Linked DNA regions of Arabidopsis thaliana. The main gene of each other region encodes a partner of the protein of the gene in region 3 in a complex. Each region holds a gene or a part of one and is shown on either strand. Other genes may lie near its edges.

What was found.
Region 1: FES1 (region 3) and FRL1 share a complex: the UniProt entries of both Arabidopsis thaliana proteins name them as parts of the transcription activator complex.
Region 2: FES1 (region 3) and AT2G30120 share a complex: the UniProt entries of both Arabidopsis thaliana proteins name them as parts of the transcription activator complex.
Region 4: FES1 (region 3) and SUF4 share a complex: the UniProt entries of both Arabidopsis thaliana proteins name them as parts of the transcription activator complex.

The regions. Positions count from the first base shown.
Region 1 is NC_003076.8:5,342,553-5,347,661, forward strand, and holds FRL1 (FRIGIDA like 1), read left to right. Parts: upstream 1-1,942; 5' UTR 1,943-1,954; coding exon 1,955-3,367; 3' UTR 3,368-3,554; downstream 3,555-5,109. Other genes in the region: UCH1 (Peptidase C12, ubiquitin carboxyl-terminal hydrolase 1), read right to left, coding at 27-803, 884-986, 1,076-1,169, 1,571-1,601; AT5G16330 (NC domain-containing protein-like protein), read right to left, coding at 3,611-4,221, 4,308-4,425. UniProt on the Arabidopsis thaliana protein: Required for FRI-mediated up-regulation of FLC transcripts, but not redundant with FRI and only partially redundant with FRL2. Required for the stabilization of the FRI-C complex.
Region 2 is NC_003071.7:12,859,269-12,864,355, reverse strand, and holds AT2G30120 (protein FLC EXPRESSOR), read left to right. Parts: upstream 1-2,384; 5' UTR 2,385-2,493; coding exon 2,494-3,020; coding exon of another isoform or gene 3,021-3,024; exon of another isoform or gene 3,025-3,137; coding exon of another isoform or gene 3,138-3,150; exon of another isoform or gene 3,151-3,155; coding exon 3,156-3,331; intron 3,332-3,417; coding exon 3,418-3,509; coding exon of another isoform or gene 3,510-3,527; exon of another isoform or gene 3,528-3,677; coding exon of another isoform or gene 3,678-3,749; exon of another isoform or gene 3,750-3,866; coding exon 3,867-3,956; 3' UTR 3,957-4,209; downstream 4,210-5,087. UniProt on the Arabidopsis thaliana protein: Transactivator required for FRIGIDA-mediated activation of FLC and for the expression of the repressors of flowering AGL27/MAF1 and AGL31/MAF2. Does not alter expression of known activators of FLC expression.
Region 3 is NC_003071.7:14,310,157-14,316,644, reverse strand, and holds FES1 (Zinc finger C-x8-C-x5-C-x3-H type family protein), read left to right. Parts: upstream 1-1,930; 5' UTR 1,931-2,078; coding exon 2,079-2,202; intron 2,203-2,542; coding exon 2,543-2,636; intron 2,637-2,720; coding exon 2,721-2,944; intron 2,945-3,082; coding exon 3,083-4,374; intron 4,375-4,470; coding exon 4,471-4,500; 3' UTR 4,501-4,933; downstream 4,934-6,488. Other genes in the region: AT2G33840 (Tyrosyl-tRNA synthetase, class Ib, bacterial/mitochondrial), read right to left, coding at 1-8, 101-183, 278-383, 633-729, 822-1,105, 1,191-1,344, 1,534-1,634; AT2G33830 (Dormancy/auxin associated family protein), read left to right, coding at 6,359-6,449. UniProt on the Arabidopsis thaliana protein: Transcriptional activator involved in the FRIGIDA-mediated vernalization pathway, but not in the autonomous flowering pathway. Acts cooperatively with FRI (FRIGIDA) or FRL1 (FRIGIDA-LIKE 1) to promote FLC (FLOWERING LOCUS C) expression.
Region 4 is NC_003070.9:11,039,118-11,045,893, reverse strand, and holds SUF4 (zinc finger (C2H2 type) family protein), read left to right. Parts: upstream 1-2,120; 5' UTR 2,121-2,300; coding exon 2,301-2,494; coding exon of another isoform or gene 2,495-2,498; intron 2,499-2,945; coding exon 2,946-3,046; intron 3,047-3,281; coding exon 3,282-3,411; intron 3,412-3,877; coding exon 3,878-4,287; intron 4,288-4,380; coding exon 4,381-4,523; intron 4,524-4,636; coding exon 4,637-4,834; 3' UTR 4,835-5,209; coding exon of another isoform or gene 5,210-5,281; 3' UTR 5,282-5,619; downstream 5,620-6,776. Other genes in the region: AT1G30972 (Plant thionin family protein), read right to left, coding at 984-1,223; AT1G30960 (GTP-binding family protein), read left to right, coding at 5,917-6,435, 6,632-6,721. UniProt on the Arabidopsis thaliana protein: Sequence-specific DNA binding factor that recognizes the 5'-CCAAATTTTAAGTTT-3' sequence. Recruits the FRI-C complex to the FLC promoter. Required for FRI-mediated FLC activation, but has no effect on the expression of MAF1, MAF2, MAF3, MAF5, UFC and CO.

The DNA.
Region 1 (5,109 bases), on a different chromosome or scaffold from region 3:
CAAGTTAACATCCCGGTAAAGCAGATTTAGGGATGGTGCTTAGCAATGAGAGGTTTCAGCTTCTTCTTGTCAGCAAGAATCTTGAGGAAGTTGAAGAGGAAAGGGACATAGTTGTGTTTCCTTCTCATGTTCTCTTTCTTCCAGTTCTTAGATTTCTCCTCCTCCATTACAATCTTTTGTGAAACAGTCTCTATCCCGATATTGACTTCCGAAAGCTCTCTATCAAGAGCCTCGTAACTGCTTTTCTCAGCGTATTTATCAGCTTGCAAAGCACCTAACTGCTGCAAAACCCTCTCTCGCTTTCTTTGATACTCTTTCAGTTCAGCTACATACATCTCTTTCCTGTTCTTAACTACAGCTAAGAGACTAAACCGAATCTCATTCTGCGAATACCGGTCAATCTGCTCTTGTACCACAGGTTGGACCATTCTGAGCCACTCGATTCCTTCTGGCTCACCCAGACACTGTCCAAGACTAATGGGTCCTTCTTTAAGACCATCGAGCTCATATAAGATACCATCAACAGGTAAGTAGCTGATGTAATGATACACATCATCATCTTCGTCTAGATTTTTCGCAGCAGCTAATTCTTCATCTTCCATGATGGAAGACGGGTCAGGCCTGGCAAATGTGTTGTGAGCTGCACGTATTGCCTCATTGTTGTTGATGGCTAAACCTTTCAGTTCAGGAGGAAATTCTTTGGCGAATTGTTTCAGTTCTGATAGTTCTGAGCCAATATCAATACTCGAAGAGTTCATGAGGACTGATAATATCGCTTGGGTCGCACAAGCATTGTTGATTATCTGCAAGAAACACATAGTTTATAAAAAAGGTAATGATTGGAAAATCCGTGAGTCACAAATCTAATGTGAGAGTAAAAGACCTGGCTTGCAAAGAAGAAATTCGGGTTTGGCTCTGTGATGACAACACGATTCTCCTTTTCTTCTGGACGCCACTTGTAAAGCAATATCAATCCATAGACAGGTCTGCAAATATCAGACAACTCAAGGTAAATTTGACTTTGTTTTTCTTCTGTTTCGAACAATAGAAGATGAAAGAGTAACAAGTAAACTACCTTATTTCATCCAGAGAGTTGAAGTCCAAGGAATACAATTCCTCAACCTGCACACCTTTCACTTGCATTTGTTGTATAATCTCAGTGAAAATACCTAAAAATATAGAATACAGAAAACCAAAAAATATGAAGAAATAACAAACAAGAAAGCGACATTGGTCTTACTCACATATATGGCACAATGGCTATCGAGAGACACTAATCCACTTAGTATAAGACAAACACCATTGTTGATATATAATTTCAAAAAGCATCAATACTTTTATTTTCCAATCCTCACACAGTAAGTATCACCTCTTGTAGATGCAGAGAAGACTATTTTCAACATTTGTTGGCTTCTAATTTGACAAAATCCAAACATAAATCAGATTCTACAGGAAGCCAAGACTATTTTCCAAACATTTTTAGTGCTCCACTATCAAAACCTCGTTACTGACATCATCTCTTTATATATCCAGAAAACAGGAACCCCAAATTGTTAAAGAGAATATATACCAGGATCAGATTCTACAGGAAGCCAAGACATGGTTCAACGATGACTCGCGCCGGTGAAAATGGGTCTGAATTTAGAATTTTCACTCTCAAATTCGCGCTTATCTATCTCCTCCCATCGATTTCATCGTCTTCACGCTAGCTGCAGACTCGAAAGAGAGACTATAGACTGGTGTGGTCTCGATTTTGTCTTAATAGAGGTCGCTCTAAACCGAGTAGAAACGAAATTGAATTCATCCAAACCATTTCAATTTCTATAAATCGAACCAAATCAAGTGAAAAACAATTCGGTTCTGGTTTTATTAAACTTACTCGAACCGAACCGAACCGATAACGTTCTTATATATCCTTGCCGGAGAGAGCCAAAGAAATCTTAGAGATCAAACAATGACGGCGAGTGAGACTATCGCCACCGCGATAAATCAGATTGATGAGAAGAAGGAAAAGCTAAAGAAAGCTTTCGACGATCTTCAAGCTCATCGCTCTCTCCTTTCACCGTCTTTCTCACTTTCCTGGTCTGAGATCGATTCTCACTTTTCCTCTCTCCAATCCTCCCTTGCTAGCCGTTTCCGCCTCCTCCACTCTACATCTCCTTTGGAACATGATTCGTATAGAATCGACGCTTCTGATGCAGGGAAATCGTCGTCTTCGGAGGAGGTATCGGAGCAACCCGTTGTTGAGCCGGAGTTGAGAGCCTTGTGTGAGAAGATTGACGGAATTGGTTTGATTAAGTATTTGATTAGGATATGGGATGATGAAACTCCTCTCAATCAGGAAGTTTCTGCAGCGATTCGTTACTCTCCGGATACGGCGTCCATGGTGCTTGACGCGATTGAAGGTTCGAACTACACACCGTCATCATCGGGAAGATCATTCGATGTAAGGAGAGTTTTCGTTTTGTTAATGGAAGTTTTGATTGAGATCAATGCGAATATCACTGTTGATACGAGAAATAGAGCTAAGAAACTGGCTTACCATTGGAAATCTAAGGTTGGTGTCAAGCCTTTCGAGGCGTTAGTGTTTCTGCATTTGGTCGCAGCTTTTGAATTAGGATCAGAATTTGACACAGAGGAGCTTTCTGATTACGTTTTCATGATCGCTAAGTATAAGCAAGCAACTTTGGTTTGTAACAAGATTGGTGTAGATAGGAAAAGAGTTGGGAAACTCATCAAGACTCTCTTGGATTCTGGTAAACCAATTTTAGCAGTCAAATTCATGTATGAGTGTGGGATGACTGATGAATTTGAGCCAATCCCTGTTTTGAAATCTTACATTAAGGACTGTAGAGAAGCTGCTCTTAGAGTTTGCGTGGAAGATAACTACTCTCTCAAGTCGCAGAACGAAGCCTCTGATAAAGAAGTCAGTGCCTTGAAACCATTGATCAAAATCATCAAAGATCAGAACCTTGAATCAGAGTTTACTCAGGAGAAAGTTGAGGAACGTGTAGAAGAGCTGGAGAAAAATAAGGCATTGAGGAAACGCAACACGACTAATCCTCCCAAGCAAGAGCCACAGCAAAAGGGGAAAAAGCGGACTAGAGACTGCAAAAATGGGTCACAAGTTCCAGTTCCGAGTCAGCAGCTACTTTCTAGACCAGAAGCTCTTCTTATGCCTGAGCATAGTCATCATGGCTTACAGTTGAACCCTTATGGTCTTATGACCTCAGCATTTTCTGGTGTTGTTGTGAACCCATTAACTGGGCTCTTTGGTTCAGGTGCAACTCCTCAATCTCTTTACTATGCTCAGCAAACTGGATATGTGTTGCCGCCTCAATACCACCCGCCTTATTATTCTCAGTAGCTAGCTGCATCTCGACAATAAGATCTTAATCTCCTCAATGTAAAATGTTATCTTTGTAGAATATTTGCCTTGATGGAAAGTAAAAAAATCATTCTAACTCTATGTCTGAGGAATCTCATTCTTTGTTTTTTTGGTTTATATAGAATAGTAGTGAATTTTTCTACAATATTGGATCATGTTTCCTACATTATAGATTCTTCGAAGAATTCGCCTACCCGCCCGTTGGCGTGTCTTCAAACCTCATCACCTTCTATTTCTAGAGGTACCAGTAGCATATGCGCGAGGAACGAGGCTCTCGACGGGCACCTTAATAGCATCCTTTCTCATACCAATATCTGCAAATAGCTGAATAGCTTTGCTGCCGAAAGGACTAAGTTGCGCAAGCCACGCAGCTGCACTCACTGAGCTGGCTTGACCGCCCCTTCCCAACACATAGTCTTTTCCGACCAGCAAGCTTGTTTTACAATATATTGCAAAATCTTCACAATTGTTTTCCAAAGCATGGTAATCACCAAACCCATTCCGCAATAAGAGGTATTTGGCGCGGGAAATGACTTCATCGCAGGGATCCGAAGGTGCTATAGTGCATGTGCCGCGTCGAGGTTTGGCGATAAATGCAGCTGGAGAGACACTGTACTCGAAAAGATAGATGTTTCCTCCGGCGAGAAAGCAGTCAAGGCAAGAAGAGATTACACCTTCGAGATTCAATTGCTCTTCACAATTAGAACAAGGATTGTCTCCTTTATGATTAGGGATGACACTAACGACGATCTTGTCCAAGAAGGTCCCAGTTCCAGTTTCTAGACCACCTCCACAAGTGAAATGAATGACTTTCTCATCGCCTATATATATTCCTGAGGATGAGCATCAAATATTTGATTATCTTTGATGCAATCCGAAACAAAAAAAAAGTCACGTTATTGAGAGATAGAGACTGAACCGTGATGAGAGTAGATATAAGCGTTACGCCATGAATAGATGTGATCTCCTGGTTTAAGTTTATCTCTGGAGATTTGGTTTGAGATAAATCCTATCTTCTCCAGAAAGTGGGAATCCATTTTGATGACTATCTCTCTTCCTAGCTTTGTTATGGTTGTGATTTTATAACCAAAATTTAAAGTCAGCAGCCATATTGTTTTTTTACGTCTGTAGCTGAATGTTTCTTCTTTATTGGCTTTAGTAAAAGGAGTAGTGGTATTAAAATAAGAGAAAATTTGATTTCAGAGTCTTCCCATCTATCTTTGTCAACTTATATCCCCCCTGCACGAACTTTCTTCCCCTACAAGGCAGGAGAAACAGTTATGTGAGTCTACGAAAGTTCCTTTGTCGAATATGTTACTTGTGATCAATATCCATACAGCATAACATAAAATATAGAGTTGGACAATTCAACAAAAGCAGCCGCAGATCCTCTACTTCACAACAACAACTAGGTAAGTTAGTTACTGATAGCTCAGAAAGAGCCAAGAAAGTGTCTTCGTCTTCTACGACGGCATATTCGTGGAAGCAGTTTCATCGATTCCGGCTCACTGAAGCGGCGTCACTCTTAAAACGAAACAACACCTCTGAAGCAGCATAAACCAAAGAACTGCTGGTTTATTTAATCCAGCTGATGACTTTGGTTGGATTCTGTTATATTGTTCTTTCATAATCTAAAGAGTCTTGAAGAGTTCATTTCTTGGACAATTAATGTTACCAAAATTGTATTTCCATTTGATAAATAGTTAAAACACAGTTTTCAC
Region 2 (5,087 bases), 1.5 Mb from region 3:
TTTTAACCCCAAAATAGCGGGGACATGCATGAAAAAACCATTTGACTAGCTTGTGACCATCGCCCACAATAATCTCTACAAACTTATTCGCTTGATGACAAGCATAATGTTTCACATATTTTATGTATATATTAATTAATGAGTAGTTTTATTCACAAAATTATCAACTTGGGTGTGTAGCTAGGCCCCCACAATTAATGTATGATGCATCAGATTTATCTAGAATTGTCTTACTGCCCCTCCAAATCGATATCATATCAAGTTGTATTAAAAAAGAACATGCATCTCAAGATTAGTTTAATTCATTATATTTAAAGTAGTTCAACCTAAGTGACTAAATCACAATCAACCCCTAACGTAACTAAGTCTACAAATTAAACCAACAGTCAACTACATCTTTTTTTTTTTTGGGTTGTAAGTTTAAATTTACTAATCAACAAAATAAATGATTATATAAAAAAGAACTACAATTTAATATTTATGATCAGCATATTTTTTCTAATGAATTTTTAAATAGTTGAATGACCAAATTTCGATATATCTACCAACATCGTCAATTGATGATTTTTTTTATAACTAATTTTCAGTGTTTTATTTCTAACTTTTACTCTATGTTTTTACGGTAAGATTAGAAGTGTCAAGACTTGGATATTATTTTGCTTTTTATTAGAATTAGTAAATATAAGGAAAACAGAAAGCTAAATTTTTTTAAAAAAAGCTAACTCGGTATTTCTTCTTCATTTTTGTAACAGAAAAACCCCACAAAATTTGTAACTATGCAAAGTCCGAGTGGAAATATAATTTGAGCTTAGGATCATTAAATCCCTATATAGTTAATTAGTACTAAAAGGAATTATAGAAAAGAAAATGACTCAGTTAATAGGACCACTCTAGAGGAAGAATAAATAGTTTAGGTGTTAATGGAGGGATATATTTTAGAATTAGAACTGTCACATTGGGAAGTGGTTCTTCTTGCTAATGTATTTTAGAATCATTCAAAAGAAAGAAGAACTAAATAATTCTCTAAACTAAACATTTAATCAAAATTTTAGAAGACAAAAAAAGAAGAAGAAGAGAGAACAGACATCTTTGGGCACCTCGGAGAAAAATAAGCATGTGAGACTCGATGCACATCATTAAATGCTTTGAGATGACATGGAAGATTCGGTTCTCGGTATTTGCTCTTTTGTTTCTATTTTATTTTCTTACCCAAAGAAAAAAATAAAATCTTTGGAAACGGTGGGGGAGGAGACAAGAAGCAATGTTTGACTGAGTTCAGTTAAAATTTATTGAAGTCTCTTTTGTGTTGAAGAGTTGGGACAAAAAAAAAAAAAAACTTTAAAGACCTGAGGGTTTGGTTTTTGCTTAAACTTTAGTTGAATGAGTGAAAGAAATGAGTTTCTGTTTATGTCGGAATTTAATAAGTCTGTAAGATTCTGTAAGAAACAAAAAGAAGCAATCTGAAACATCAGAGCTTCGTGCTAATCCGTAGACTTGGACTCTAGCTCTTGCCGCCTCGTCTTTTCTTATTTTACAGTTTTAACTCTACCTTCGATATCAATTAGCATATCATTGATTATCACTTTCTGTCAGTAAAAACTTGTATATCGTTAGAAAAAACACTAATAAATGTAATATTTGGCGATACAAAATTAGATTGTATAGGATTTTGTTTTTCTTTTTTTCAAAAATAAACTATTTATTAGAATTTCCAACTTAGACTATATAGTTTCATAATCAAATTTACGATTACTTTTTGTTTTCCATATGAATATGATTATATATTTAAGAATGTTAAAGAAGACTAATTTTTTCATTTATTCCGGTTTGTATATAAATAGGTTACCATTAGATATGTGTTATCTTGGAGTACTCTACAAATATTTTCTTTACCAATTGAATCATTTCAATCTAAAAAAATACTGAACTAATGTCATTGGTGCTATTTATAATTTGACATATAATTTTATTTAATTGTAAAATTTAAATTCTAATCTTTCTATACAAAATTTAAACAAAAATGTAATTAATCTCGTTTAATTGTAAAATCTAAATTCAAACTCTTATTTATAAACACATAATTTATATTTAAATTTTGTTTAATTAAAAGTAAATAGATTTTGAATATTTAAACTAATATGAATATTTTTAAGATGCACATACTTTTTTTTTTTTTTTGGTAAGGTTTAAGATGCACATACTTTCTCTAGGTATCTAGTAATTTATTCCTTCAACGTCTGAATCGGCCTCAAATTTTCTGATTTGGGCTTAGTTTGGTCCAAGTGGGCTTAATCAAGCATATCATAACTGTAGTTTGGGCTCATAACGTTTTTTTTTTTTTTTTTTTTTTGCGCTGCGCAGTTTAGCTTTTGATGGTACGGCTTATTTTAACAACGAACTCGGAATAAAAAAGCTTTTGACAGAGAGAACGACCATAATTCAATTAGGGAAGTACTTTCACAAACCGGAGAAGATTATCGGAGATCGCAAACTATGGCCGGACGAGATCGTTATATTCCATCATCAGCAGTTTCAACTTCATCATCTTCAAGATTATTAGAATCTCAATTAATCGAATCCGATCGAAATCGAGCTCGATCTGTAATCCTCGAGGATCGAATCGCAATCCAACACCGTGAAATCCAATCTCTTCTCAACGACAATCAACGATTAGCTGTAGCACACATCGGACTCAAAGACCAGCTCAATGTAGCTAAGCGTGAGCTCGAACGGTTACTTGAAACCGCTGTTAAAGTTAAAGCGGAAGGAGAAGCTAAAGTGCGTGAGGTTTATCAGAATGCGTTGAGAATGGAGGCGGAGGCTCGTGTGATTGATGGACTTGGAGCTGAGCTTGGTCAGGTTAGGTCTGATGTACAGAGGTTAGGTAGTGATAGACAGGAGTTAGCTACGGAATTGGCTATGTTTGATGATGAGATGGCTAAGGCTAAACCGAATTCGGATCGAGCTATTGAGGTTAAATTGGAGATTGAGATTCTTCGAGGAGAGATTCGTAAAGGAAGGTGAAAATTTGAATTCTCTTTGTTGTTTTTGTTGGAACATTGGATTTGTTATCTTGTAGTGTATACTCATATGATGGTTTTTTGGATGCTTATGGAGTAGTAATGAATTTGTTTGAGGTTTGGGATATGAAACAGGGCTGCTCTTGAGCTGGAGAAGAAGACACGAGCTAGTAACCTTCACCATGAGCGCGGTATGGAGAAGACTATCGATCATTTGAATCGAGAGATTGTAAAACTTGAGGAAGAATTGGTTGATCTGGAGACTAAAGCTAGAGAAGCAAATGCAGCTGCTGAGGCAGCTCCAACCCCAAGTAATTTCTCTGTCTTTTTTAGCTTTTTGCTTTACACAGTTTAACTGCAAAACCACCTTATAGTTTTGATGATTTGTTGATGTAAGGTCCTGGATTGGCTGCAAGTTATGGAAACAACACCGATGATATATATGGAGGTCAAGGCCGGCAATACCCGGAGGCTAATGGTACTCATGAGGTACACATGAGTCTATAGATAAGTAGTAACTTTACGTGATCATCTGTTAGAAGTTCTCCTAATTTAGCATTATTATGGAGAAGGAGAAGATTGGACTAATTGTTTGTAATGATTGGCATACCAAGTTCTGATTGTCTTACATTCTGAACTGATATCTTAGCAAAATAGCTAGTTCTCAGGGAAAAAAGTTATGTTCATAGGTTAGTAAGTGTCCAACTTGTACAAGTATCCGTTGGTTAGTGAGAATTGTTGTAAACTCATAATTGACTGAATTCAACGCTTATGATAAGATTGCGGTTTTACTTTAACATTGTTCGATTCTAGTAGTGTTTAACATCACACAAATATACACTTCAGGCATATAGAGCATCGGATTGTCTCTCTCAAGACCCATCTACTCCATTGCAGCATCCTCTGAATAATACTCAACATTCTAGTGTGTTGTGATAGTGTCTTGCTTACGTTTGAATAGGCCAGCCATATACTTGATTTGACAATTTTTGTTTTAGTGTATCTTATTTAGCGAGTGTATTCAACCAAATAATTTATTTGATTGAAGTTCGAAGAATTTTTCTACTCTGTATTCTCAGTTCGATTTTTGAGGTTTACATTAATTTACATACCTCATCCAACTATAAACAAACAAGGACAAGAGTTTGTGGTCCTTTTAGAATTACAAATTTTTAAAACTATTCCATTTGATTTGTACTTACCAACATATTAAATTTGAATATATAAGGTATTTAGACAGACATATTGATGGTTCTTTGCATGAAAAATCTCTGCTACATTTTGTTAGTGCATTATTTCTCTACAATTTCTTGAATACCAACTGTTTGAAAGAATAAAGAAAAAGGCAGAGTGTGTTTGTTCTGTTCCATGCAACCTCTTACACACTCGAGTTCATCCTCAGTCACGGGCAAACAACAGTTGATGCAATTCCTCTCTGGCAAATTTCTCCACCTTTACAGAACTAACTTCACTTGATTTGTATCAGTAGCTACTGATACAAATCAATTTGCAATCTCCTCCTCCAAAAGTTGTAATAATGGGTGCTAGGGGATAAAAAGAAAGAACAGAGGCATACATCAAAAGCTAGCTTTATCAAACCACATGCACAAAGTTTACTCAAATCAATATCAGAATCAGAAAAACAAGCTTAATCAACAAGTTTACATTAAAGTGTTTCCTTATCATATAAGAAGGGGATTCCTCTTTCTTTTTCCCAAGCCTTCACTTCAATGATTAGATCTTCAATCATGGCTTAGAAAAGAAACACAATACTATCATCTTAAGTCTTTGTTCATTACTTCAAAAAGAGAGGGTAATAGGGTTACGCGTATAAAGACTCACCAGGAATTTGCATGACAAGACTCTTAGCACGTTCTAAGTGTTCGTACTCTCCTCTTACGAGTTACAAGATTGAAGAGGTTTCCATCCTATAAAGACGATCAAGAATATATAATAAGAAATGCTTACTTTAATCAAGTCAATCTTCTCTTGATGTATCACAGGTCTTCACCTACCTTTTCGTAGTCACGAAGCCATTTTTCTTCTTCCTTAGCTTGCTTCCAGGTT
Region 3 (6,488 bases):
ACTTCAGCCTGAGGACATCCAGACATTCAAAACAAGTCAACAACTGTGATAACTCTTATCTACTTTTGTAAACTTAGAATTTTGGCTAAGTTATAGTTACCTCTTCATCTTCCATAAAGATAGCAGATAATGGATCACTTTTGGACATCTTTTCTTGTCCTTGTTGGAGACCAGGAAGCATATCTGCAAGTAGTTAACAATGATAAATGATTAACAACACGCTAGACCAGTTAAAACGTGGTATAACAGAAGTCAAATAGGAAAATGCAGAGCATACGGTGTGACAAGATTATCGGTTTGTTTTTCCTCTTTATGTCATCACAGTATTCTCTCGCTAGCACATTTACTTTTCTTTGATCCATCCCAAGCTGGCAAATATCAGCCTACATATGTAACGAAAATGGTTTAACAGTAGTCACAGAACTCATCAGCCAGATACACAAAATGTAACATTACATTGATAAAATCTGCAATCATATACAGCTTATTTCTAGCCTGGAGCTTTTATCAGGTGTTTTATCAACAATATAATAGACTTTCTGCTGATGTAACGCTTAAGCTAAATTTTTTATTCCGAGTAACTAGCAGCAGAATCAAAGACAGTTCATAAGCAAGCAAAGGCTTAACAGTACCTCAAGGAAAAAAATATCTGCACATTGCATGCATGGGTAAAGGATCTGGGCAGCACTCAGTTCATCAGTCTCACTACGTCCCATAATCTGCACACACCTTCAAGGACAAGAACCAGAGTCATTCAGGTCCCATCATTTCCCTCACATAATTACAACGTCCCAAGAATGGAGAAGATTTAGAAAAGTAACCTTAAGATTCTAGGGAGCTTGTTTTTGCGAGCAATGTCCATCACAAGAGGCCAATACTTATCTGCCTTAGAATTAATTTCTTCGGACGACCACAAAAACTCTACTTTGTCATTATCCATCCCAGCAGCCTTCCATATCTCTTGAAAGTATTCTCCAACCACTCTGATTTTCTTCAAGTCACCACCCATTTTGTTGTTCAACTGAGCAAACCAATCAGCAATCCAAATCTTCACTCTGCAACCAGCTGAAGTCATTTTGTTCACATTGATGACTTTCATCACTCCCTATTAAGAAAACAACAGAACCAAAATAGATTAGCCAACGCTTCCTTCCCACATATGGTAATGGAACAAAGGAAAACTAACAGACCTGAGCAATGTGCATTCTTCCTGATGGTTCAAAGCCGTCGTAGCAAATCGGAGCAGCCTTCTTAGCAAGAAGATTCTTTAGCTCTTCCTCTTGTATACATTCCTCACCGATACTCCTAACAATTTTGTATCTCTTCTCAACTTCTTCACTCATCCTGAAGAATTAGTAAAATTTCAATATCTACCAGACCAATAAGCAGATAACAAGATCTTTTCAATTTTAAATTCCATACTTCTAAATTGCTATAGCTTTTTCATCTCTTCCACTCTAATCAAATAATATAATCCAAATCAAAATTGAAGCGCGAAAATGAAAAAAATTGATGATTGGTAAGAAAACTCACTGGAATCCATCGGACGAAGAAGATGCCTGAGTTGATGAAACGGAAACAGCTTCCATCTCCGACGACAGAGCATTGACGATCTCCGAACTTTGGTCTGCCATCAAATTTAGCCGGCGGCTCCTTCACAAAATTGCGAAATTGCGGAGGATTCTTAGGGTTTACCAGTGGCAGTGATGGAGACAGTTAACGTGCAATATAGCACCACTACGCTTCACGATTTTCACGGTTTGATTCGATTCTCTTTAATTTTGTTTTGGTTTAATCCGGTTACTATAAAAAGGCAACGATGTGTTAATTTAGGAAATAGTTGGTAAAATTTGGAATTTAGTATGGGCCTTAATACTAAAGCTTTAATTATTTAGGAAAGGCCCATTAGATATAAAATAGTTCGGTGGTCTTTGTAACAATGGTGGTTTCGATATACCAAACGTATTCTCGGAGATCATCAGGACTCAACAGCGAGCTTCGGACCCCGATCACGCCGCAGTATTTTTTTTTATCAATTTACCACTCTCTGCGTTGGTTACCTCGCCGAAGACTTCAAGATGTCTGATTCCGACATGGACATTGATGATGATGAGGTCGAACAAAAGGTGCAAGTACATACAATTGTAAGAGAATCTGAATTGTTTGATAAACCACCAATTCAAGCTTCCAATTCCCACAACGGTTAGTATTTGAAATTCGTGATTGGTTACATGGTATTGTTGATTAATTCTGTCAAGTTCGTGTTTTTATTGATGGAAACACCTTTTCCAATTTGGAATTGATGAATTTTGTTCTAGAAGAAAGAGAGAATTGTTAAATTGACTAGATTTAGCTCTGATTAGAGGTTCAAAGACTTGGCAATTAGATTTTCACTGAAGCTCTTTTGTAAAAATTGTGGCTTTAATACCAAGTAAGCAAATTCAATTCTCAGAGTTTTGTGCTTGTTTCTGTAAGGAATCTCTTTTGTTTATTCAAAACAGCAGTTTTGCTAATATGTACTGATTAAACTTGTCTCATGTAGATGTGAAGAGGCATTCTGTAACAACACCTTTAGATGAGCAATCAAAAATCATAAAGGAGCAAGCTTTTGCTCAAGATAATGGTACTTTACCAAGGTATGGCAAAAAAGTTTCTGCTTAAGTTTTGCTGAAACTAAGTTAAGAGGTTGAAGCTTTTATACTGACAAATTCGGTTATCAGATTTCCTGCTCCGGGTATACCGCCAAGAAGCTTTTTCACTGGCGGTGGTGGGAATGAACCAGAACAAAAACGTGCAGCTCTTCCCTGCAAATTTTTTGCTAAAGGGTGGTGTTTCAATGGGGTGTCCTGCAAGTTTCTACATGTGAAAGAGAATTCAAATTGCACTAGTCAACAACTGGCGGAAAATAGTATGGCTGGAAACGGTGGTATCCGGTCTGATCTAGGTACGTTGTACCATGAATACTTATTCTTGTGATTCTATGTGGAGGTAGTTCCAACAATATAGAGGCCGGTGAATATCTATGGGGTTTAATTACTCTTTCTGAATCAACCAATAATTTATTTTGCTTATGTCTATTCAGAAAGAAGAATTTTGGACAGCAGAGAAGGTGTAAGAGTTTCCCAGTTAAGCGAAAACGGTGTGACATCGTTGCCTACCAGAGAGGATATATCTTTCATGAATCCTCAGAGAGTTTTCTCCTCCATGTCTTTTGTGAATCCCCCAGGTTCTCAGAGAGTTTTCCCGTTCAATAACGAGATGCGCTTTATGCCTTCATTTGAAAACATTAGAAGAGAGAGTTTGAAGCAAACGTATGGTGCTGATTTCACTGACAACAGGTCTCTAGTTATTAATAACGCCAATTCCTTCGCATTGAGAAGCAGCTTTGTTCATGAGCATAGACCTTCTATCAGTTCCTATTTAAAAACAGACATGGGATCTGCTGGACCAGCCTGGACAGGATCATTATCCAGTTCTGTTCCTATGAATGATCGTGCTTCTACGGTGGGGGATTTTGAAAATGGGAATAGTTTATCTGGATCCGGATCACTTCCAACGCTGCAAGGGGTAGCTGTTTCTTCTGATAAAGGCGCAGAAGCCAACACTACTAGCACTAAAAAGAAAGTTTCTTCAGATGACTGGGAACCTTCTGAACCTTTTAAAGCATCTTTTACAATTCCACCTTATATTCTTCCCTCGTCTGATGCCCTCTACGATCCTTTCACGGATATAGAGAATCTAGGAGACAGACCTCTTAATGATTCATTGTCAAGTAAAGGAGAACATGCACGGAAAAGTTCCTGCCAGCAGAAAGATGGTGATTCTGCTAGTGGTCCCCAAGCACGGGATTGCAAGAATGATGATAAAAGCAGTTCATGCAGTCAAAATCAACACCAAGAAACCGTGGCAAGGAGTTTGGAAGCACATGGAGTAGTGGAAGGGGTGGCTACGTCAGTGGTTGATCAAAATGATACAGCAACGCCTAGCAAAGAGATTTCTTCGGCTACGGCTGCAGAGAATAGAGTTGTTTTGAAAAGAATCAAACCTGCAGGGCATGATTCTTGGCATAGAAGTGATGGGTCTTCATATAAAAAGACAAAGAAATCAGATGAGATAGATGGTGAAGTGAGGTCAGATGCAGGAATGAAAGTAATGAGACTATTCCGGACTGCAGTTGTGGAAACCATTAAAGAAATGTTGAAACCGTTGTGGCGTGAGGGTCGTCTAACTAAAGACGTGCATAACATGATAGTTAAAAAAGCTGCAGAAAAGGTAGTCGGCGCCGCTGTCCAGTTTCATCAGGTGCCAACTGACACAGAATCAGTTGATCAATATCTTGGTTTGTCTGGAACCAGAATTGTGAAACTTGTCGAGGTGAGTTTCTTAGCTGGAAATAAAAGACACTTAAAGCAGGTAAAAACCTAAGTAGTAAGTATTGCATAAGCTAACAATTCTTATGTTCATTTGCAGGGGTATGTCGAAAAGTATGGTAAACCCTGAGTTATCAAACCAAATGTCACTTGGTGTGGCATGAGCTCAAACTGATGAGATTCCTGTACATTATGTCATCCTTCTTTTACTCAGTTATAGATTTAGTACGTAGCACCTAAATTCTTTGGAACTCCATTCCTATCCTTTACCGATAATGGAATAAGGTTGGAATGGGAGCTTGGTGGAGGAAATGTGTACACATTGTAAAACTCTTCAAAGCTTAATTTATGCTTAAAACAGTTTTCTTTTACCTTTGGGAATATGATTTAGAATGTGATCTTTAGAAGTAATGTGATAAAGAATGGTTGCCTTGGAAGCAGAGGAAAAGAGAAAGAAATGGAATAATGTTGAGGTACGTTTCCTAACTATTTGATAAGTAATTTAGCTTTGTGAAACCAAGATTTTTCAAATTAGAAGTTAGTTTTAGTTTTGTATTTCTCCATCAATATAAGTAAAACCTCTGTAAATTAATACTCGGTAAATTAATAACCTCTATAAATTAATAATTTCTTCCAATCCCGAGGTGAGACTAATGGAAAAAATGACATAAATCGATAAATTAATAAGATAATAATTTTTTTGAAAATCCTATGTAAATATATGGTCTCATTAATATCACAAATTAATAATTGCAGAAATGTATCAACTATATATACATTATATGTAAGAAATTTCTTTAAAATATATTTCTAATATTTTTTTTTGCTTAAATTTGTATTTATTCTTATTTGATATTGAGTTCTAATATTTTATTGTATCAAAAAATTTTGGTGTTGTTTTCTAAATATGATATTACTTTTTACTTGTAATTGATTCTTAAAAAATATTTTCTATAATGAAAAAATCTTAAATTTTTTTTAAAAGTTAATAAATTAGAAAAATATCTCTATAAATTAATTAATTAATCGATAAATTAAAACCTCTATAAATTAATATAATTTTTCGGTCCTAACATTATTAATTTATAGAAGTTTTACTGTAAGTAGAAAGTGGTTTTTGGTTTAGGATAAAGTGCATACGTTTTGTGTACAGTTTTGGAATTAGTTTTATCTTTTTCAAACATTTTAGTGAATCATTTGGACTATGATCATTAGGACATCATGAACTTATTATCTATGGTGGGTTTGTGGAAAACTATTTGATTAGAGTTACTGTTGCTTAATAATATTAACTTCACAAAATAATCAAAATATGTTTGTTGTTCCTATAATACTTTTCCACGAAAGACTTGGGATTCTTTTGATTTAAGGGTCCCTACACTTTATGACTCGTCGTCCTTATCCATATCTCCAGCTCTATACCCACCTTGCATTTTTTTTATTTCCACACTTCTCCCTCACTGCTCACGCTTCTCATGATCAATGGTTTGATCTATATTATAACATTAATGTTATATATTAAGGTCCTTTAAAGTAGGCTTATCCACATCCTAATTTCCAAAGATGGCGTGTATTTTAGCTCTAAACCCTGGAAGTTGCATGTTATATTAAAATGTTGTAAAATGACATATTAATACATAACACACAATTTACAATTATATTATGTATTCATGTTGTTTATTGACAGAGAATAATAACATTTTGGCTAAACGTATCAAATTTTAACGAAAATTCTATGTGCAAGTATATAAACTTCATTTGGTAATTAAGTTATCAATTACTTGTCAATTATTTCTAGTCTATTATAGTATTTCTCTAGATATTTTGTGGGTCAAATAAAAAATGAGAGAACTAGTCGACAAAGGAAAAGAGATATTTTTACGAATAGTTTAAAAATGAGTCTATAAATTAGATGAAGGAAGCCCTTTAGTAAGTACTTCACACTTGACACAATTCTATCCAAAATCAACCCAAAAAAAGAAAGAAATATGTGGGATGAAACTGTAGCCGGACCTAAACCGGAGCATGGCCTTGGCCGCCTCCGCAATAAGATCACCACCCAACCCCTTGACATCAAAGGTATTTATTTTTCTTTGTCAACCATAACTCCGTAATAAA
Region 4 (6,776 bases), on a different chromosome or scaffold from region 3:
TTCTTATAAACACAAGAGAGTAACCATTAGCTAAAATGTACAATTAAACAAACATTGCACAAGTTGTAGAAAAATGTAAAAGCTTCGGATTTAAGCACAGAGAAACGGCAAAACAAGTGAGAGCCAATTTTGCTTCAATAGGAGAAACGTAGTAGTGGCAGTTTTATTTTAAATGTATAAATTGAAACAAAGTGTTTTTCTCTTGAAGCTGAACATAGATGGTTTCACTTTTGTCTCATGTAAATATGGTCATATGGATTTTGCTTTATCCACAAGGTATCACACTTTGAAATAACTAAAATAAAAAATATGAATCAAGAAAATCAATAAGCCGCTACATGTCACTTCCAAAATTATGAAATATGAGATTCGAATCTAAGAGGAGTCTTAAACTGTTAAACAGAGACGTGTTTACAGTCAAGAGAAATTTATAACATGGGACAAATTTTATTTTATTTTATTTAATAGCGTTACAAATTTACAATGATCATATTACATAAGGAGGATACAAAAGTAGAAGAAGAGCTAGTTTAAAAGTCCCAAGAGTCCAACACTGATTCATGACTCATCGTCTCTTCTATTTCTGCGCTTCCACTATACAAATTAGAACCATCGATTATTTTAACCTTTAGTTTTTCCAAATAATCTCTTGAGTTTAATTTAAAAAATAATATTTTCAGGACTATATGTATACCTAAACAGTGACAATGATGTTTCTAAGATTTAAAACACTTTATTACCGAAATATATCTCAAAATTTTACTATTTCAAAACGTTATGTTGCTATTTTATTTTTCACCACATTTTCGAAACATTAGCATACCGTTCAATCATTTGAACATTCCATTGTTAATCTATTATTATTATTACACTAGTCAAACTTACTTCAAATTTATTTATACAAAGGGGAATATATTTTATATAGTTAGTAAAAATCTCAATAATCATTAAAATAGATTTTCTTTGACATATTTCCAAAATTGTTAGATTGTTTGTTTGTTTTTACCTTCTGAAAAATGGTTACCTAATGTACGACGAGGTTTGCCGGGACATCGACGGTAACAATTCTGAAGGCACGTGATCGGAATTCTTCCTGTGGTGGCACAACCTAGAATGCAATCTTCATGGCATTGAGCTTTCGTCTCTCCATTGACATTTTCCATTGCTATAACCATTGTCACCACAAACACCATTATAATCATTGAATTCCATTTAGCACCCATATCTTTAACTTTTTTGTTGTTGCAAGTGTTTCATGTACTTAAGAAATAATGAATAGCTATCCTCTATTTATAATCTTTTCTAATAGTTATCTAATTCTTAGCTCTTATCGTCTCTTCTTCTTATTTGTTATAGGAATTGCTCTTCTTTTTTTTTCCTGGTCAAAGTTTCTTTGTAATAGAGACTAGTTACTTTTTTGGTTAATCTTCTTCTGTTTTTTTCTCTATTTATAATCTTTTCTAATAGTTATGTAATTCTTAGCTCTTATAGTCTCTTCTTCTTATCTGTTACATGGATTCCTTTTTTCTGGTCAAAGTTTCTTTGTAAGAGAGATTACTTACTTTGTTGGTTAATCTTCTTCTGTTTTCTCACAGTTTATTTTAAGTTAATTTGAGATTAAGTTAATTTGAGATTTCATTGGACAAAGAAAATTAACTCTTGAAAGAATAAAAAATTATGTCAGAAGTGGGGTTTGAACCCACACCCTCTTACGAGGACCAAAACTTGAGTCTAAGGCCTTAGAGCATCCACATTGGTCACTTATATGTAGATGTCTTTAAATATAAAACTATAAATAATAATAATAAAAAAATTATGAATGTTTTTAGTTTGAGATTTGTGTTTCTGTAGAGACACTTTAAACACAACAAAAGTGAAATGTCTTTAATTTTATTATTTATTTATACTAAAAACATCTATAAAAAGTTGTCTAATGAGGTTGCTCTTAGACCACTTGACCATCCTAACGGATAACATAACCAATACTAATAGTATCATTATATAACTTACTAAGCATTTTGGAAAAATATATAATTAAACAAGAGTTATGGGTTCTTTACGAAATATTACACAAGAAAGTACCTTTTCTTATAAATACAAGATAGTAACCATTAGATAAAGTAAAAATAAATAAAAAACAGAGAATCTGAAGATCGTAGAAGAAATCGAGAAAACGCTTTGTACCAATTAGAAACCCTAGCGAGCGGAGGAAGGAGACAAAGAACGAGACTTTTGAGAGATTGGAGATTTCAATTTTGAGATCAAATCTTGAAATCAACAAATAGGAGAAAGATTTAGTGATGGGTAAGAAGAAGAAGAGAGCTACAGAGAAGGTGTGGTGTTATTACTGCGATAGAGAGTTTGATGATGAGAAGATTCTTGTGCAGCATCAGAAAGCTAAGCACTTTAAGTGTCATGTCTGTCATAAGAAGCTTTCTACAGCTAGTGGCATGGTGATTCATGTTCTTCAGGTTCATAAAGAGAATGTTACAAAGTATGTGCCTTTTCTTTTTACCCTTTCCCTATGGCTCTTTTTGTTGTGTTAGGTTGATTTGGAATATTAGGGTTGTTGCCTCTATGATCTTTGTTCAAGTTCTGATTTTTTTTTTGCTCTTGTTGTGTGTGATTGTCGTTTGATTTCTGTTAGATTGCGCTAATTGTGACTGTTGTGTTGTGGTTTGAATCGGTTGATTGTGTATGTTTGCTGGAATTTGAATCGTTTTTTTGGATTATCTCTTGAATGGGTTTGGTTAATTTGTATATGTCTGGTCATAAACCCTAATTTCTGATTGCAATTTTTGTAAAGAAACAGTCTTTTGCTTTTGCTTTTGCTTGATAGGTTTTTCTTGGAATTTGTGGTACTGTTCAATGTGTTTGCCTGTTGAATTTGGAATTTGATTCCATGACACTACTAACTTTGAAATTATCTACAATTTTCACACCAGAGTTCCTAATGCTAAAGACGGTCGAGATTCAACTGATATTGAAATATATGGAATGCAAGGAATTCCACCCCATGTCTTGACTGCTCATTATGGAGAAGAAGGTATGCATTTGAGATAGTGAGAGTACTGTTTAGATTATGAGCAATTGATTTAGAGAAGTAAGGCGATAAATTTGTATGTCTCTTCATCAAGTGTTGTAGATCTATTGCATCTAGTGGTCATGAATTCGTTTTGATTTTGCATGCGGCTTTTTGCCTTATCAAAGTTATTATATATTATTGTTATGTTTGCTTGTTTCATATGGTACCTTTTGAACTGAAGTCATGTTTTCTGCAGAGGATGAGCCTCCAGCCAAAGTTGCAAAAGTTGAGATTCCTTCTGCCCCTCTTGGTGGTGTAGTTCCTAGACCATATGGAATGGTATATCCGCCTCAACAAGTACCTGGTGCTGTACCTGCACGACCAATGTATGTACTAATTATACTATACTCTCTCTATGGCCGTTACTTGTTGAATTCTTAGATGTTGTCTCTGTTTTTAAAAATCCGATCCATGCTAAATGATGGGGAACTTTTTTTCTTTTAGTTCTCTTGATGCAAAAGGTTCTTGGTTTCTTTAGTTTGTCTCTGTCCTAGAACTTTTCTACTTTTGTTCTTCTATAAGACCACTATAACACCCGTAGTAAACATTTTTTGAAATAGATCGTTATCTAAGATATTGTTGCACTTAACCAACTATGACCCATAAGGTTCTTAGTTTCCCTAGCTTGTTCTCGTGATTTTTCAGGATAGAACTTTGTCCTAGAACCATTCTTTTGCTCCTCTTCAAGACCACAATAACACCTGTAGTAAACAGTTTTTTGAAATAGTTCATGATCTTAGATATTGTAATATGTATGGCTATTGACCATGATAAAATATTTCGTGTTAGCAGGTATTATCCGGGTCCTCCTATGCGTCATCCTGCTCCTGTATGGCAAATGCCACCTCCTCGTCCGCAACAATGGTATCCTCAAAATCCAGCTCTTTCTGTACCTCCAGCTGCCCATTTAGGGTATCGACCACAACCACTTTTTCCTGTTCAAAATATGGGGATGACTCCAACTCCAACCTCAGCTCCTGCCATACAACCATCACCAGTCACTGGAGTAACTCCTCCTGGAATTCCTACATCATCACCTGCAATGCCAGTTCCTCAACCTCTGTTCCCTGTTGTGAATAACAGCATTCCTTCTCAAGCTCCACCATTTTCTGCTCCTCTGCCTGTTGGTGGGGCTCAGCAACCATCTCATGCAGATGCTTTAGGATCAGCAGATGCTTATCCGCCTAACAATTCTATTCCAGGTTCAATCCCAAGTTCGTAGAATCATTGACTTACATTTGGTTTAGCTGTTTTGTATCAAATTGTAATATCTTTTTCATGTTTTGTTGCCGTAGGTGGGACTAATGCTCATTCTTATGCCTCTGGCCCAAACACTAGCGGTCCTTCAATTGGTCCACCTCCTGTAATTGCAAACAAAGCTCCTAGCAATCAGCCTAATGAGGTCTATCTTGTATGGGATGATGAAGCGATGTCTATGGTTAGTTTATTCCTAATTTCTTATGCATCATGTTGGAATGGTTACAATTGGAAAAGTTTCGAGTAATGAACCATTTGGTTTTCCAATCTGACGCAATGTGTCTGTATCTGCAGGAGGAAAGAAGAATGTCCTTACCAAAATACAAAGTGCACGATGAAACCAGCCAGGTAAGTTCTGATTTACCCTTTTTAAAGTTAAGAAGAGTTTGCTTTTGCAAGTCTAACCCATTCGGTAGGCTTTATTTATACATTTCTGTTCCAGATCCTATTGTTTCTGTGCTAAGAGGTACCACCGTATTATTCAGTTTATAATTTCTTCCCTTAGAATATGATAAGAAGGACTTAGGCAAGAAACTTGAGCATTTTGAATCAATGTTCGAAAGGTATCATTTGTAGCTTGCAATAGTAGGTAGTGAGAAACATAGCGTTTGTATCTGTTTGTTTTTCATTATATTTCCTGTCTATTGTATTGTATTAAAAATGTGGTGATTGGTTCCACAAGATCATACTCTACAGGTTTGGTTTCAAACCCAGGTCAGCTCTTTTTATATTCTTAACTCTGCAAAGTTTGGTACCTTTGCACAATCTCACTGCCTTGGGGAACCAAAACAATACGCACTTAACTCTTTCAAAATAAAGCATCCAACTTCTTAACTCAACACCAAGTTTGTTTCTTTTGGTTTGCAGATGAACTCGATAAATGCAGCGATAGACAGACGAATCTCAGAGAGTAGGCTTGCTGGGCGGATGGCGTTTTAGAATTTGGCACCAAACCAAACCAGCGTCAAAGAAAAGGCGATATGGATGAAGGCTTTGTTACAACAACAAGTCTTCACTCACTTTTGTTCAGATACTGAATTTATGATCTGATTTTAAGTTATTAACTTTCCATCTGTTGTATTCTTTAGCCAGGTGAGTTAGTTTACCATTACATTGTTTAGGGATCTCAGAGATGTTTTTTCTCAGAAGTTTAGTCCTTTTTTTTTTTGGTCGTTGGAGACTTGGAGGAAGAACTTTGTCTCCTTTTCTTCTGAATTGATCAAAGTATTATATTATACAGATTCACCCAAAATGTTTGCACCATGTTGTTCAATATTTTGCCAAAACAAAATTGACTAATATTCCTTCCATTAACTGTATATTCAAACTCCAATTGATACGATTAGTATGAATTTTTGTTGTATTGCTACTTTGCTAGTAGTAATTATATCGAATACAAAGTTAGGGACTACGTTGGATTTGTCAAAAAGTGAGGGGCCTATCTGTAATATTGAGTTACTTTGTCACCACTTCCCCAAAACATCAAAACCTCTAAAACCCTCGGAAGCCTCTTCTGTTACATTTCGTTCAAATCTGTACTTCTCCGAGATCGCTACTTCGCCATTGTTACAAAAATGAAAGCTTTTAGATCTCTACGTATACTAATTTCCATCTCACGAACGACGACGAAGACAACACCTCGTAATCCCCATCAAGCACAAAACTTTCTCCGCCGATTTTACTCAGCGCAGCCGAATCTAGACGAACCCACTTCCATCAATGAAGACGGATCAAGCAGCGACTCTGTTTTCGATAGTAGTCAATACCCAATCGACGATTCCAATGTAGATTCCGTGAAGAAGCCCAAGGAAGCAACTTGGGATAAAGGGTACAGAGAAAGAGTAAACAAAGCCTTCTTTGGAAACTTGACAGAGAAAGGTAAAGTGAAAGTTGCAGAAGAAGAGAGTTCTGAAGATGATGAGGATAGTGTTGATAGGTCAAGGATTCTCGCTAAGGCTCTCTTAGAGGCTGCGTTAGAGTCACCAGATGAAGAACTTGGTGAAGGTGAAGTTAGAGAAGAAGATCAGAAGTCGCTTAATGTCGGCATCATCGGTCCACCTAATGCAGGAAAATCTTCGCTGACTAATTTCATGGTTGGCTCATTTCCTTAATTTCACATTCCTGTGATTTGGTCTCTGAGAATCAATTGAGACATTGTGTATATGTTTATGTAGTGCTGCTATGACTCTTGATTAGTCCTAAAGTTGCAATTTTTGAAGTGATTGTGTATCTTTGTTTATTGCATCTTGATGAGAGTTATGCTTAGTGTTTCGTTATGTCCAAGTGTAGGTTGGAACAAAGGTTGCTGCTGCTTCACGGAAGACTAACACGACGACACATGAAGTGTTAGGAGTATTGACAAAAGGAGATACACAAGTCGTAAGTTTTCTCTTATATATCTGTTGCATATGTAAACTACTCGTTATGGTTAGTT